Linked DNA regions of Macaca fascicularis. The protein of the gene in region 1 interacts with the protein of each later gene in a biochemical or structural test. Links are inferred from orthologs where the notes say so. Each region holds a gene or a part of one and is shown in the gene's direction. Other genes may lie near its edges. The genes, in order: CRYAB, CS, CRYBA1 and SNCA.

Region 1 (4,074 bases):
GTAACGTTGGGAGGTCAGCCCAGAATTTCAGGGGGTGGGGGTGGGAGGCAAGGGGGTGGCATCTGTGCCATACCTTCTCCGAAGCGCTGCTCACCCAGGCGGCTCGGGTTGGCAAATTCGTACTCAGCGGTGGCTGGGTGGGCATGTGGCACTGAGCGGCCCGACATGGCTGCAGATGCAGCGGGAGCCCTGGTCCGAGGTGCAGCCCCAACAGGCGCAGCGCGACCCCTCCAGCTGCCCGGAGAGCCAGGGCTCGATAGGAGGTGGGGGCGGGGTCGACACCACCCAAAATAGTGCCGAGCCTCTGGGGGGGAGGGGCGGGGAGTGGGGGCCCTGAGTGAGAGCAACGAGGGTGTGACCAGCGCCGCCTGGACCCCTAGTCCCCTCCCCCGCACACTCTTCAGCTGTCGCAGGGGGCCTGAGAGGACAGCTGAGGGTCCTGGTTAGGAACGAGCTGAGAAGGGGGAGCTGGTGGTGCCTGGGGCATGAAGAGGCCTCGCTGAAACCCTCACAAACGGTTTGCACGTTTCCACACCTCATTTTCTCCTCCTTGGAGGCCGGCACTGTGCACCCAATTCCTAAAGCACTCCTGGATTTAATGTTCTGAGAGCCACATAGGATGAAAGATGCAAGAAATCTTTCTGCTCTTTTTTTCAGGGAGTGGGGTCTTTCTGCCCAGATGTCGGAGTCCTCTCCTAAACCCAGGTCAACCCAGGGCAGGAGGCAGATGGCTGGTACCCGCATGTTGACCATCACTGCTCTCTTCCAAGGACTCACAAAGAGTTAATGTCCCTGGGGCCCAGCCTAGGAAGATTCCAGTCCCTGCCCAGGCCCAAGATAGTTGCTGGCCTGATTCCCCTGGCATTCAGGACTGAAGAGGAGGAGGAGGAGGGGCACACTCCACCGCCTGCCCCTCCACCCACCCGCGTGCCTGCTTGGGATTCCTGACTCTGTACCAGCTTCAGAGAACTGGGGTGGGGGTGGGTGCCACTGGGTGTGTACAGAAAGCTAGTGAAACAAGACCATGACAAGTCACTGGCCGGCTCAGACGTGTTTGTGTTTCTCTTTTCTTAGCTCAGTGAGTACTGGGTATGTGTCACACTGCCAAATCCCCGATCACAAGTCTCCATGAACCGGCGGTGAGCTAGGATAATAAAACCCCTGACATCACCATTCCAGAAGCTTCACAAGACTGCATATATAAGGGGCTGGCTGTAGCTGCAGCTGAAGGAGCTGACCAGCCAGCTGACCCCCCACACTCACCTAGCCACCATGGACATCGCCATCCACCACCCCTGGATCCGCCGCCCCTTCTTTCCTTTCCACTCCCCCAGCCGCCTCTTTGACCAGTTCTTTGGAGAGCACCTGTTGGAGTCTGATCTTTTCCCGACGTCTACTTCCCTGAGCCCCTTCTACCTTCGGCCACCCTCCTTCCTGCGGGCACCCAGCTGGTTTGACACTGGACTCTCAGAGGTGAGTCTCCCCACTGCTAGAATGGGAGAGTCCTTACTGGAACCTCCTGTAAACTTCTCCATCCATTTTCCTCTCCTTTCCTGCCTAAACCATTTTAGGCACATGTGTATCCAAATGTGAAGAAAAATGAGGAGGTTGCTAGTTCCTCCCTCCCCCGTCACCTGTTTCTACTTGATGGTCCTCTGTATCCCATTTATTACATTTTTTTCATGCACTGTCAAGTTCATCCTCCATCCCCTAACTTCTCTGCAGGGTACCCCTTTCTGGTTTGGTTCATAACAATCTGCAGGGAAAGAGCTGCCTTCAAACTCCTTTGCTCATCTCTTCTAACACCATGGACTCTTGACCAATTTTACCATCTCAGGTGTCAGAGCCAGGAGAGAGCCCTGCCTCACCCTGCCTGAGCTGTTCACCCTCATGGGCATTTTCTGCCTTTTTATTCCCTCTTCTGTGATTTTCTGGGTTTCTCAGGGCTGTGACAGGGCATTGGCCTGGGTCCAACCAAGCCTTATGAGGAAACAATATAGGGACCCCCACTCGTCCTAAGAGGGTGAGAGAACAGGGTGAACATATAAGGTTGACAGAAGCTGTCACAGATAACGCTCTGGTTTAAAAATATTCGAGTGTGAGTAAACAGGAGATGAGTGGGCAAGGGCTTTGGAAGGACAAGCAGGACCAGCAGAACATTCCAGATTGGGTGGGTGGAAAACTGGCAAAGAGACCTGAGCCAGAAGAAGAGGCCTTTGTCTCACAGACAAACCACAAAGCCAGGCATCGGAGCCAGAGAGGCAGCAGATGCCAGGCCTGCACCCATCCTTGCGACTGGTCCCCTGGGTGATCTGTCTTCTTCTCTGTCCCTGTAAATAAAGTTTGGGTCGGATCACCATGAGCCTTAGGTATCACTGTGGTGGCTCCCTGAAGCAGAGAGCCATGTTTATTTAAAAAGGGGATATTTTAAAGCAGAAAAGAGAAGGATGAATTACCTGGACAGAAAGCAACTCTGCAGAATAAGACAACACCAGTATAATGAGTACTTTCGCCATCTTTCTCCCGTCCCATTCCCTTACCTTGCTATTTCTAGATGCGCCTGGAGAAGGACAGGTTCTCTGTCAACCTGGATGTGAAGCACTTCTCCCCAGAGGAACTCAAAGTTAAGGTGTTGGGAGATGTGATTGAGGTGCATGGCAAACATGAAGAGCGCCAGGTATGTAGCTTGGTTTTTGTTTTCTGCTCATTCATTCAGTGTATACTGTAATAGTCCAGGTAGTGCTATCAGCTTTGGAGGCTGGCTACATTCCAGTCCCAAGCTATAATAGTCTAGATCAGGGGTTACAAATCAATGTCTAGAAGACTAAGTTAGGGATAGACCTATTGCTGTTGTTACTGTTGTTATGGCCAGAGATGTGGTCTTTGTTTGATTTGATCGCCTTAGATGGGATGATGGGATGTTGATGCCCCATCTTAGCCAGAGGTTCTGAATCTTGGCCACATTAGAATCACCAGGGGAACTTTCAAAAAACCTAATGCTCAGGCATACTCCAGACCAATTAAATCAGAATTTTTAGGGGTGGGACCCAGGGCATCAACATTTTTTAAGGTAATTCTAATCTACAGTCAAGGTTGAGGACCACTGATTTAGGTATAGGGCTGTCAGACACCTAGTTGCTTTGCATAATTACATTAACTACAGGTACCCTAAAGGCACTTGAGTTGTGAATTCTCTGTTAGCTGTGCAAGAATCCATGTCTCTTCTTTAGCCCATCTTAATGCTGAACTACTTGGTTTGTCTAAATTTCAGAGCTGTGCTCAGTCTTTAATCCCCTATAGCCCATGCGGAAATCAGTTAATGAGAGCCTGTTTGGCTACATGCTTGAGAGTCAGCAGGCATACGGGTTAAGGTCATCTACTCTTTGGGGGAATTCTGACGAATGGAACAGCTTTTCATGACTTTGTAAGAGGGCTTTAAAATTCCTTCTCACCAATTAACGATAGCTCAGCGATAGCTCAGAACCTGTGCGTCAACCAGTACAGTTTGTCCTTAGTAATGTCCTCAGGCTGTTTCAATTTTGCTCATATGATTTAGGTTTGGGTCATAGTCTCCTTGGATGGAGTCTTTTTTTTTTTTTTCCCCCAGCAGCAGTCCTATTGTTCTGGAACCTTCTGGGACATTCCTGAAGAGTCAGGACAATTTCAGGGCTTCCTCAGGGACTCAGATTCTAAATGAGATTCCAAATTCTGTAGGCCCAGTCAACATTATCTAAACCTTTGGGAAATACTCCTAAACATATCTATGCCTCAGGGTTTGAAAAACAATGAAGTGTTGTACTGTTTCAGACTTCTCAGATTCTCACTGGTAGGAGTGACTACCTAGGTAACTTCATCTTAGCCACAACCCTGAAACAAAGCACTGTTTATTTTTCCTATGTTGTCATGGCATTTGGTCTCACCTAAGGGGAAATCAGGATGCCTGAGTTCTGGGCAGGTGATAGTAGTTCATATTCTTATCTCTCTGCCTCTTTCCTCATTCTTTTGGGTTAGGATGAACATGGTTTCATCTCCAGGGAGTTCCACAGGAAATACCGGGTCCCAGCTGATGTGGAC
Region 2 (3,567 bases), on another chromosome or scaffold:
CCCATCTCTACAAAAAAATACAAAAATTAGCTGGGCGTGGTGGTGCACACCTGTAATCCCAACTACTCGGGAAGCTGAGGTGGGAGAATCGCTTGAACCTGGGAGGCAGAGGTTGCAGTGAGCCAACATAGCACCACTGCACTCCAGCCTGGGTGATAGAGCGAGACTCTGTCTCAAAATACTTTGTCTCAAAATAAAACAAACCAAAAATATACGCTTTTTATTTACCAACTTCTTTTTTTTTTGAGACAGAGTCTCACTCTGTCGTTCAGGCTGCAGTGCAGTGGCATGACCTCAGCATACTGCAACCTCCGCCTCCTGGGTTCAAGCAATTTTCCTGCCTTGGCCTCCTGAGTAGCTAGGACTACAGGTGCACACCACCACGCCCAGCTAATTTTTGTATTTTTAGTAGACACAGGGTTTTGCCTTATTGGCCAGGATGATCTCGATCTGTTGACCTCGTGATCCGCACGCCTCAGCCTCCCAAAGTTCTGGGATTACAGGCGTGAGCCACCATGCTTGGCCTGTTTATCAACTTTTTAAAAAGTGGCATGGGCCGGGTGCGGTGGATCACCTGAGGTCAGGAGATCGAGACCAGCCTCACCAATATGGTGAAACCCTGTCTCTACTAAAGATACAAAAAATTAGCCAGGCATGGTGGTGCACACCTGTAATCCCAGCTACTCAGAAGGCCAAGGCACAAGAATTGCTTGAACCCAGGAGGTGAAGGTTACAGTGAGCTGAGATCGTGCCATAGGACTCCAGCGTGGGCGACAGGGCAGGACTCCGTCTCAAAAACTAAATGTGATATGAGTTAATAATGTAAGCTAGGTAATGCTTCTTGGCTACATGGGTGACCTTGTACAAGGTAACTTAGCTAAGCCCCGATTTCCTCATCTATAAAAAGAGGTATATGTAACCTTACAGGATTATTGTAAGAACAGAAAAGGTAATACTGCAAATAATATAACTAGCACAGTACCTGTTGCATAGTAAGTGCTTAAAGAATGGAAGCCTCACCGGGCGCGGTGGCTCGCGCCTGTAATCCCAGAACTTTGAGCGGCCAAGGCGGGCGGATCACCTGAGGTCAGGAGTGTGAGACTAGCCTGACCAACATGGTGAAACCCCCCTCTACTAAAAATGCAAAATTAAGCCGGGCATAGTGGCACATCCTGTAATCGCAGCTACTCAGGAGGCTGAGGCAGGAGAATCGCTTGAACCCGCGAAGTGGAGGTTGTGGTGAGCCAGGATCACACCACTGCACTCCAGCGTGGGCGATAGAGCAAGACTCCATCTCCAAAAAAAATAAAAGGAAGCCTTTGTTATTAAATAACAATTGAATATCACTGTTTGATCCTTGGCATATACAGTGAATTTTCTTTGAAAGATGGAATATAGAATTCATTATTAAAACCTAGTGGTTTTTTGTTTTGTTTTGTTTTGTTTCTTTTGAGATGGAGTCTCGCTCTGTCACCCAGGCTGGAGTGCAGTGGCACGATCTCTGCTCACTGCAAGCTCCACCTCCCAGGTTCAGGCCATTCTCCTGGCTCAGCCTCCCGAGTAGCTGGGACTGCAGGCACCTGCCAACACACCCGGCTAATTTTTTGTATTTTTAGTAGAGACGGGGTTTCACCGTGTTAGCCAGGATGGTCTCGATCTCCTGACCTCGTAATCTGCTCGCCTTGGCCTCCCAAAGTGCTGGGATTACAGGCGTAAGCCACCGTGCCTGGCCTTTTTTTTTTTTTTTTTTTTTTTTGAGACAGTCTCGCTCTGTGGTCCAGGCTGAAGTACAGTGGCGCGATCTCGGCTCACTACAACTTCCACCTCCCGGGTTCAAGCAATTTTCCTGCCTCAGTCTCTGGAGTAGCTGGATTATAGGTGCCTGCCCGTACCATGCCTGTCTCATGTTTTGTATTTTTAGAAGAGACAGGGTTTCACCATGTTGGCCAAGCTGGTCTTGAACTCCTGACCTTAAGTGATCTGCGAGCCTCAGGCTTCCAAAGTGCTGGCATTATAGGCGTGAGCCACCATACCTGGCTATAAAACCTAGTGTCTTAACACAGTGAATGTAAAGTCATGGTGTAGTGAAAAAGATCATGATTAAACATATCAGAGGGCCAGGCATGGTGGCTCACACCTGTAATCCGAGCACTTTGGGAGGCCAAGGGAGGCAGATCACCTGAGTTCAGGAGTTTCTAGACTAGGCTAACCAACATGGAGAAACCCCGTCTCTACTAAAAATACAAAATTAGCTGGGCGTGGTGGCACATGCCTGTAATCCCAGCTACTTGGGAGGCTGAGGCAGGAGAATCACTTGAACTTGGGAGGTGGAGGTTGCAGTGAGCTAAGATTGCACCATTGCACTCCAACCCGGGTAACGAGTGAAACTCCATCTCAAAAAACCATATCAGAGTTCAAACCTGACTTTGGCATTTAACCTAATACTATGAGCCTTAGTTTGCTCATCTTTAAAACGGCAGTCATTATATACTTTGTAGTAGTAAGCATTGGGAATAATGTTTTAGTGTACACTAGATAGTATTACAAATCACTTAGTGCCTGGGTCATAATAGTTATTCAATTAAATGGTTATGATTTTTCTCTACTTTCAGACATACTCAATATATAACAACCCATCATATAACTGACCATCACCCCAAATAGCCCCAATTCATGGAGGACAGACAATATCCCTGTCTAATTCTTCTTTGCTGATAATTCCTTTTTTTTTCTCCATCTTGCTCCTCTTCTGTCAGTTGATTTATGAAGACTCTATGGATTTAATCGCAAAGCTACCTTGTATTGCAGCAAAGATCTACCGAAATCTCTACAGAGAAGGCAGCGGTATTGGGGCCATTGACTCTAATCTGGACTGGTCCCACAATTTCACCAACATGTTAGGCTATACTGAGTCTCAGTTCACTGAGCTCATGCGCCTGTACCTCACCATCCACAGGTAAGCTAGACCCAGCAACCACAGCCGCTAGGAGCCTCAACTGGGAAATTTTTTTAAAAGCTCCTTTATGTTCTCATCTTCTGAGAACAGATGATAGGCAGCAAGAAGACAGAAATGTGGCATCAAGGATGATACAAGGCAAGAAAAGGGTCTAGTAAGGAAGGTCAAGAGGCCTAAAGAAATTACCATAACCATGCTGAGAATAAGATGGTGCTTCTGGCTGGGAAAAGGTACTAGCTGCTCACATTAGATAGTCCTTCGGCTTTCCAGGAGCTCCCTCTTCGGGCCATTGCTATTAAACCTAGGTTGGAGTCATGGAGCAGAGCATACAGGCATCATCAGCCAGTAACCTCTCCAGCTGTGGATGAGTGAACAAAAGCTGGTAATGAGATTAGGATGTTTGTTGTTGTTGTTGTTGTTTTTGAGGTGGAATCTTGCTCTGTCGCCAGGTTGGAGTGCAGTGGCGCAATCTTGGCTCACTGCAACCTCCACTTCCAGGTTCAAGTGATTCTCCTGCCTCAGCCTCCCAAGTAGCTGGGACTACAGGTGTGTGCCATGATGCCCAGCTAATTTTTGTATTTTTAGCAGAGATGGGGTTTCACCATGTTGGC
Region 3 (3,325 bases), on another chromosome or scaffold:
CTGCTTGCCTTGGCCTCCTGAAGTGTTGAGACTACAGGCGTGAGCCACCACACCCAGCCCGGAAATACAATTTTAGATTGGCTTTGCTAATATACTTCACTCAGACCAGTGACGTAGACAGACCTTTTCAGTGATAATCCCAAAACAATTATTACATTCATAAACCTGCTTAGTATACCTGTCAACTCATTCCTCACCTCTTGTGATAAATTACTTTGTACAGCTCTACTGGGATTGGCTTGATATTTTACCCCACTATTAACTTATCTAAAACGAAAGATGCCTTCTCCCCAAGGCCATATAGGCTTTGAACACCATGAACAAACACTACATGTCTTTGGCAGCTGGATTGGTTATGAGCATACCAGCTTCTGTGGGCAACAGTTTATCCTGGAGAGAGGAGAATACCCTCGCTGGGATGCCTGGAGTGGGAGTAATGCCTACCACATTGAGCGTCTCATGTCCTTCCGCCCCATCTGTTCAGCTGTGAGTCTCTGAAATTTCCACTTCTGTGCATATGAGGGATGGGACAAGAGGGTGTGGACAGACTGACGTTCATGCTATTTCTCATCAGTTATGCTGAATGTGGCAGGAAAAAAGACAAAAGCAAAAAAAAAGAGAAAACATCACTTTCTCCTCTAAGCCTGCTATTTGATTTTTCTCCACCAGGTGGTATTTCCCTTAAGCTAAAACTAAGGGTCTTACAGGTGGCAATAAGTGGATACTCAAGAGCCCAATAAACTTGTGAAACACTAGTAAATGAGTGAATGTCTTTACCCTGTAGTAAAAAGCAAATCCTTGGCCAGTTAAATTTCAATCTGTGCAACATTTTACCGCAGAAACAGGGAAATGCTGAAGTAACCTTTCGGTAAGTGGGAATGACTAAAAAATAGGCAAGTCTTCCATTATCTATCTACATTCATTGATAATCATCTTCTTGTTCTGAACACTTAAGTATTACTCAATAATGCATCAGGCTGGGATGTTTCTGGTCTTTTTTGGAAAGAGTTCAAGCAGAAAGCAGGATGATCTTCAGGGGTGTGCTGAAAAATAATCCCTGTATTAGGAGTTAGGTTGGGCTAGAACCTTTCCAAATATTCAGTCTATATGTGAGTTTCTCGTGATTTTGGTTAATAATCTCACCTTGGTTCAAAGTCTTGCCAAAATTCAACTGATGGAGAAGTTAACCGAAATAGCTCTAATCCAAACAAATAGTTCCCTATCTGGAAATTATTTCAATCTCACTTTTAAAAAAACATTTCATTTTTCCACCCTAAGTTATAACTGACCTACAGTAAAATGCACAGATCCTAAGTGCATATTCTCATGAGTTTTGAAAATATATAGATCCATGTAACCAACACTCTAACCATATAAAGAACATTCCATCATAGTTCCCTGGTGTCCCTTTCCACTCAGTTGCTCCCCTACCACTTTCTATCATCAAACAGTTTTGTCCATTTTTGAAGTTCATACAGGTTGGTCTCTGCCTTTTTAATGCTTGTGTAGTATTCATGTCCCCTACTGGACATACAGGTTATTTCCAACAACACACATACACACGCAAGCGCACACATACATATTTGGGCTTACTTTTTGTATTAATTTGTGAGATCTTTTTTCACATTAGTGAGTATTCATCCCTTGGTTGGCTGCATTTTGTTAGTACTTTTTCCCACTGTCAAATCCTCTTCATTGTTCCAAAATAGTGTATCAGTTATTTGTACATTCCAAATGTTATGGTATTTAAATTGGAATAAACAAAATTATGGGTAACTTTTTTCTCACATATCTGTTGCCTTAATCTTTTTAAAATAAATTATCACATGCTTCCTTGTGTAATCCAAAAAAGTGTTTCAATTTTGAAAAACATGAATGATAGCCATACACCAGTACTGAACATTTTAAAACAATTTCTGAATTACAGAATCATAAGGAGTCTAAGATGACCATCTTTGAGAAGGAAAACTTTATTGGACGCCAGTGGGAGATCTCTGATGACTACCCCTCCTTGCAAGCCATGGGTTGGCCCAACAACGAAGTCGGCTCCATGAAGATACAAAATGGGGCGTAAGTACAAAAACAGGGTTGGAATACACTTCAAAGTAATTCCTGAAGTTGCATCAATGGTTGTTTTAATCAGATTTCATATGTATTGGTATAGATGTCACATTCTAGTTATACATAATTTTGAATCACAAGTTCTTTATACCAACTACCACTTAAGGTTGCAGATTTATCTCCCCCAGACATGCCTCTATGGAAGAATTTATGTTCACTTATACCTCTTTTGATGATTAAGGCTAATCAACTAGCTGTAGCTGTATTATGCTTGCAAATAGTGCCTGACACATTTAGGATAGCTATATTTTTCTAAGACCAAAAGCATCCCATACCATTAAGTTGAGGAAAGAGGCTCAGATTTTGGGGTGTTAACCAGATTCCTAATTAGTTTTAATAATGAAATGTACTTTGAATTTCCCAGCTGGGTTTGCTACCAATATCCTGGATATCGTGGGTATCAGTATATCTTGGAATGTGACCATCACGGAGGAGACTATAAACATTGGAGAGAGTGGGGATCTCATGCCCAGACTTCCCAGATCCAATCGATTCGCCGAATCCAACAGTAGCTGATTAAAAGCTCCAAGTACGATAATTCCTCAAGCATGAGACCTTGCTAAGCACTCTAGAATGAGTTTTATGTTCTGCTCACAGACATTGCTTTCAAATGTTAGCTGCTGAAATCCACAATAAACATCATTAAAAACAAAACAAAACAAAACTTTGTAGACTGAATTAACTACCATGCTTCACATAAATCACACCTATGTGGATGAGAATTTTTTTTTTCTGAGGTGGAGTTTCACTCTTGTTGCCCAGGCTGGAGTGCAATGGCGCTATCTCGGCTCACCACAACCTCCGCCTCCCGGATTCAAGAGATTCTGTCTCAGCCTCCCGAGTAGCTGGGATTACAGGCATGCACCACCACACCCAGCTAATTACTGTATTTTTAGTGGAGATGGGGTTTCTCTATGTTGGTCAGGCTGGTCTCGAACTCCCGACCTCAGGTGATTCTCCCGCCTCGGCCTCCCAAAGTGCTGAGATTACAGGCATGAGCCACCAACGCCCGGCCTGTGGATGAGAATTTTTGTTGTTGAGACAGGGTCTGTCACCCAGGCTGGAGTGCAGTGGTGCGATCTGGCTTAACTACAGTGTCGATCTCCTGGGCTCAAGTGATCCTCCTGCCTCAACCTCCTGAGTAGTTGGGACTACAGGCGCCTGCCACCGTGCCTGGCTAATTTTTGTACTTTTTGTAGAGATG
Region 4 (4,204 bases), on another chromosome or scaffold:
GAACCATAGCACCCAGCAATAATTTTTAACTCTTCATTATTCATTGAACATTTAGTTAACAATTGTAAAAATGTTGTTTCCTGCTGTCATTGATCTTGTGAAGAATATTTTTGGACTATAGCTGTGGATTATTTCCTAAATAGTGAATTACTTGAGCAAAAACTTTACATACTTTGAGGGCTGGTAACCCATGTTGCCGCAATGTTTCCCCAAAGGCATTGCAGAGTTTAGAATGCCAGTACTTATATTAAAGTGTGCCGTTTTCAACATCCCTGGCCAACATCCCTATATGTAAGATTTTTCCAAAACATGGTTCTGATTTTTAAAAGTGAAAAATGCTACTTCATCATGTTCTTTTTGTGCTTCTCACTTTAAATATTAGAATGAAGAAGGAGCCCCACAGGAAGGAATTCTACAAGATATGCCTGTGGATCCTGACAATGAGGCTTATGAAATGCCTTCTGAGGTAGGAGTCCAAGCTGAATCTTTCTAACAGTACCAACAACCTGTCATTGTCATATTTCTCTTGCTTAGTGAGAATCATTTGCTCTCTACATGCTCATTACGTGGACAACTTTCAAGCTAGGAATGGTTTTTACATTTTTAAAGGGTCCAAAAAAAAAGAGGAGGAGGAGGAAGAGAGGATGTAACACAAATTCTAAGTCCACATAGCTTAAAATACTACTTGACCCTTTACAGGAAAAGTTTACTAACTCCTGCATTAGAGAATATATTTTTAGAAACTATACATTCTAAAATAAGTTTCTAAATGGAAAGTTAGGGAAATCAACGGAATGCCAAAGGAAGGTAATTATTTTTTGCCATACATTTCCAGTGGGATGATTGCATAGTAAAATAAAAGTTACCCACACAAGTTATAGAATGAAAAGATAAATGTATGATTTGCAACAATTGATATATTCCAGTATAACATTTTAAACAACGTATGATTGTTAATTTTATTTTTATTGAAAACAAAAGTATTTTAATAGAAAATGTATCAAAAGGGAAATTAGAAAATACTGTTAGATGAAAAAAACTGACCCAAGAAGAAATAGTAAATCTGAATAGATTTGTATAGATTTGTAACACAGTGAAGTGATTAAATGATTAAATTAGTAAAAAAAAAAAAAAAAAAAAAAAAAAAAAAAAAAAACAAAAAAAACACCTGCATGCAAAGAAAATCCCAGGCCGAGACAGCATCACTGGTAAGTTCTACCAAACATTTAAGGAAGAACTAATACTAATTAGTTAACACCAATTAATATCTCTTACACAACATAGGAGTCATTTAGACATTTCCCAACTAATTCCGTGAGACCAATATTACCCTGATAATCAAAACCAAACAAAGATATCACAAGAAAAGAAACTGTATGATGGTTCCATTAAAAATTGAGTTCAAATATGTTGTGGTTAGGTTATGTATTATTCCTCATGGCATTATTAAAAGGCATATCAAGGATGGGTGCAGCGGCTCACACCTGTAATCCCAGCACTTTGTGAGCCAAAGTGGCCAGGTTACTTGAGGCCAGGAGTTCAAGACCAGTCTGGCCAACATGGTGAAACCCCATCTCTACTAAAAATACAAAAATTAGCCAGGCATGGTGGAACATGCTTATAGTTCCAGCTACTTGGGAGGCTGAGGCACAAGAGTTGCTTGAACCCAGGAGGCAGAGGTTGCAGTGAGCTGAGATGGCACCCCTGAACTCCAATCTAGGCAACAGGGCAAGACTGTCACTCACACACACACACACACACACACACACACACACAGCATATTAATAATAATTCAATTTATAGAAATTGAGATTAAATTGTTTGCCTAATAAGAATTTCCAATATTTTGGGGTCTTTTATGCAAGACACAGTACCAAACACTATAGAAAACTATAGTGTAATTGACATTACCAGGATATAAGGAGTTTACAGTCTGGTAGGTTTGATGAAAAAAATAGAAATTCATTCATTCATTTCTTCATTATGATTCCTTCCTTTAACAAACATTATTGATTGCCTTCTATGTACCAGGCATCACAGGAGCAAAGATATACAAGATATACTAAAAAGTATAACATTTTAAAGGATCTGTTTCAATCAATCAGGAGTAGTTTTATTGAGGAGGTAATGTTGATCTGGGTGGGAAAAGGAAAGAGATATGGTAGGGCAAAACAAACAGAGGACGTTCTGGCACAAGGGAATATCAGAAGCAAAGGCATATGTGTCTGAGAATGCAAATGGATATGTCTGAGAACAGTAAATAATTATGACTCAAGCTTAGGAACAAGGAAAATGGTGATAGATTGAACCTGCAGCTATGGGTCAAAGACAAATTATAGAGTATTAGGACAATCTTGTCATTTAAGTTTGTGTTCTATTCAGAAAACAACTTCAGTTATTGAAGATATGCTTATTTGTTTGTTTTTAAGCAGAATCCTGATATTATTAAAGTTGCTCTTTAGGAGGAATAATCTGACCCCTTTAATTACATCATTAATATTTGTATTGTGGATGCTTTCCAGATATTGTATGGAGAGCTTGGGGTCTGAAATACAACTAATAATTGAAGCCATAGATGAAGATGAAATTTTCAAGTGGGAGAGCGAAAGTAGGGAAAATGTACCTCGCCTTCAAACGTCTTAATTTCCTTCTGAGAATTAGAGCGTCTTAGCCCTGGAAAAGGCTTTATAGACCGCTTGATTTTATTCTCACATTTTACAGGTGAAGAAACTGAGAATCAGCCAGTCCAACTTATTTGTCCTACCTGACTAGGTATATGATCATTAAATGGTACATCTGGATTAGAACCTAGATATTTTAACTGATTACTACCACAATTCACATCTATATCGGACAGGAAATACACAACTATTAAAAATAAGATAATGTATATTGCAGAATATTTGCAAAAACATTGAGTGTAAATTTTAATGTAAGTGATGAGCCATTTCCTATCTCATTGGCTGTCAGTGCTGATGCATGATTGAAACTTACACTAACAGTGCGTGCTGTCTTTTTTATTTTTCTAATATTAGGAAGGGTATCAAGACTACGAACCTGAAGCCTAAGAAATATCTTTGCTCCCAGTTTCTTGAGATCTGCTGACAGACGTTCCATCTTGTACAAGTGCTCAGTTCCAATGTGCCCAGTCATGACATTTCTCAAAGTTTTTACAGTGTATTTTGAAGTCTTCCATCAGCAGTGATTGAAGTATCTGTACCTGCCCCCATTCAGCATTTCGGTGCTTCCCTTTCACTGAAGTGAATACATGGTAGCAGGGTCTTTGTGTGCTGTGGATTTTGTGGCTTCAATCTATGATGTTAAAACAATTTAAAAACACCTAAGTGACTACCACTTATTTCTAAATCCTCACTATTTTTTTGTTGCTGTTGTTCAGAAGTTGTTAGTGATTTGCTATCGTATATTATAAGATTTTTAGGTGTCTTTTAATGATACTGTCTAAGAATAATGATGTATTGTGAAATTTGTTAATATATATAATACTTAAAAATATGTGAGCATGAAACTATGCACCTATAAATACTAACTATGAAATTTTACCGTTTTGTGATGTGTTTTATTAACTTGTGTTTGTATATAAATGGTGAGAATTAAAATAAAATGTCGTCTCATTGCAAACAAAATTTTATTTTTATCCCATCTCACTTTAATAATAAAAATCTTGCTTATAAGCAACATGCATTGAGAACTGACACAATGGACATAAAGTTATTAATAGGCATTTGAAGAAGGAGGAATTTTAGAAGAGGTAGAGAAAATGAACATTAACCCTACACTGGGAATTCCCTGAAGCAGCACTGCCAGAGGTGTGTTTTGTGGTGCCTTAAGTGGCTGTGATTAAAAAAAAAAAAAGTGGGCTCCAGGGAACGAAGCAGTGTAAAAGATGATTTTGACTACATCCTCCTTAGAGATCCATGAGACACTTTAGCACATATTAGCACATTCAAGGCTCTGAGACAATGTGGTTAACTTAGTTTAACTCAGCAGTCCCCACTAAAAAAAAAAAAAATCATCAAAAATTCTCTCTCTCTATTCCTTTTTCTCTCGCTCCCCTTTTTTCCAGGAAATGCCTTTAAACACCTTTGGGAACTATCAGGATCACCTTAAAGAAGATCAGTTCTCCAGACTGATAAAAATTTCATGATCTCTTTTAAATGTTGCCAAATATATGAATTCTAGGATT

The links.
Region 2: the proteins of CRYAB (region 1) and CS form a complex in vitro, tested with the Homo sapiens proteins (3 studies listed by BioGRID). The link is inferred for Macaca fascicularis from reciprocal best matches to the Homo sapiens genes CRYAB and CS.
Region 3: the proteins of CRYAB (region 1) and CRYBA1 form a complex in vitro, tested with the Homo sapiens proteins (2 studies listed by BioGRID and IntAct, with this or other methods). The link is inferred for Macaca fascicularis from reciprocal best matches to the Homo sapiens genes CRYAB and CRYBA1.
Region 4: the proteins of CRYAB (region 1) and SNCA form a complex in vitro, tested with the Homo sapiens proteins (4 studies listed by BioGRID, with this or other methods). The link is inferred for Macaca fascicularis from reciprocal best matches to the Homo sapiens genes CRYAB and SNCA.

What each region holds. Positions count from the first base shown.
Region 1 is NC_088388.1:110,836,517-110,840,590, reverse strand, and holds the start of CRYAB (alpha-crystallin B chain), read left to right. Parts: upstream 1-1,226; 5' UTR 1,227-1,272; coding exon 1,273-1,473; intron 1,474-2,263; exon of another isoform or gene 2,264-2,332; intron 2,333-2,554; coding exon 2,555-2,677; intron 2,678-4,011; coding exon 4,012-4,074. Other genes in the region: HSPB2 (heat shock protein beta-2), read right to left, coding at 74-167. UniProt on the Homo sapiens protein: May contribute to the transparency and refractive index of the lens. Has chaperone-like activity, preventing aggregation of various proteins under a wide range of stress conditions.
Region 2 is NC_088385.1:63,075,213-63,078,779, reverse strand, and holds part of CS (citrate synthase, mitochondrial), read left to right. Parts: intron 1-2,756; coding exon 2,757-2,956; intron 2,957-3,567. UniProt on the Homo sapiens protein: Key enzyme of the Krebs tricarboxylic acid cycle which catalyzes the synthesis of citrate from acetyl coenzyme A and oxaloacetate.
Region 3 is NC_088390.1:34,738,915-34,742,239, forward strand, and holds the end of CRYBA1 (beta-crystallin A3), read left to right. Parts: intron 1-344; coding exon 345-486; intron 487-1,927; coding exon 1,928-2,070; intron 2,071-2,485; coding exon 2,486-2,633; 3' UTR 2,634-2,765; downstream 2,766-3,325. UniProt on the Homo sapiens protein: Crystallins are the dominant structural components of the vertebrate eye lens.
Region 4 is NC_088379.1:95,268,921-95,273,124, reverse strand, and holds the end of SNCA (alpha-synuclein), read left to right. Parts: intron 1-382; coding exon 383-466; intron 467-3,033; exon of another isoform or gene 3,034-3,035; coding exon 3,036-3,068; 3' UTR 3,069-3,644; downstream 3,645-4,204. UniProt on the Homo sapiens protein: Neuronal protein that plays several roles in synaptic activity such as regulation of synaptic vesicle trafficking and subsequent neurotransmitter release.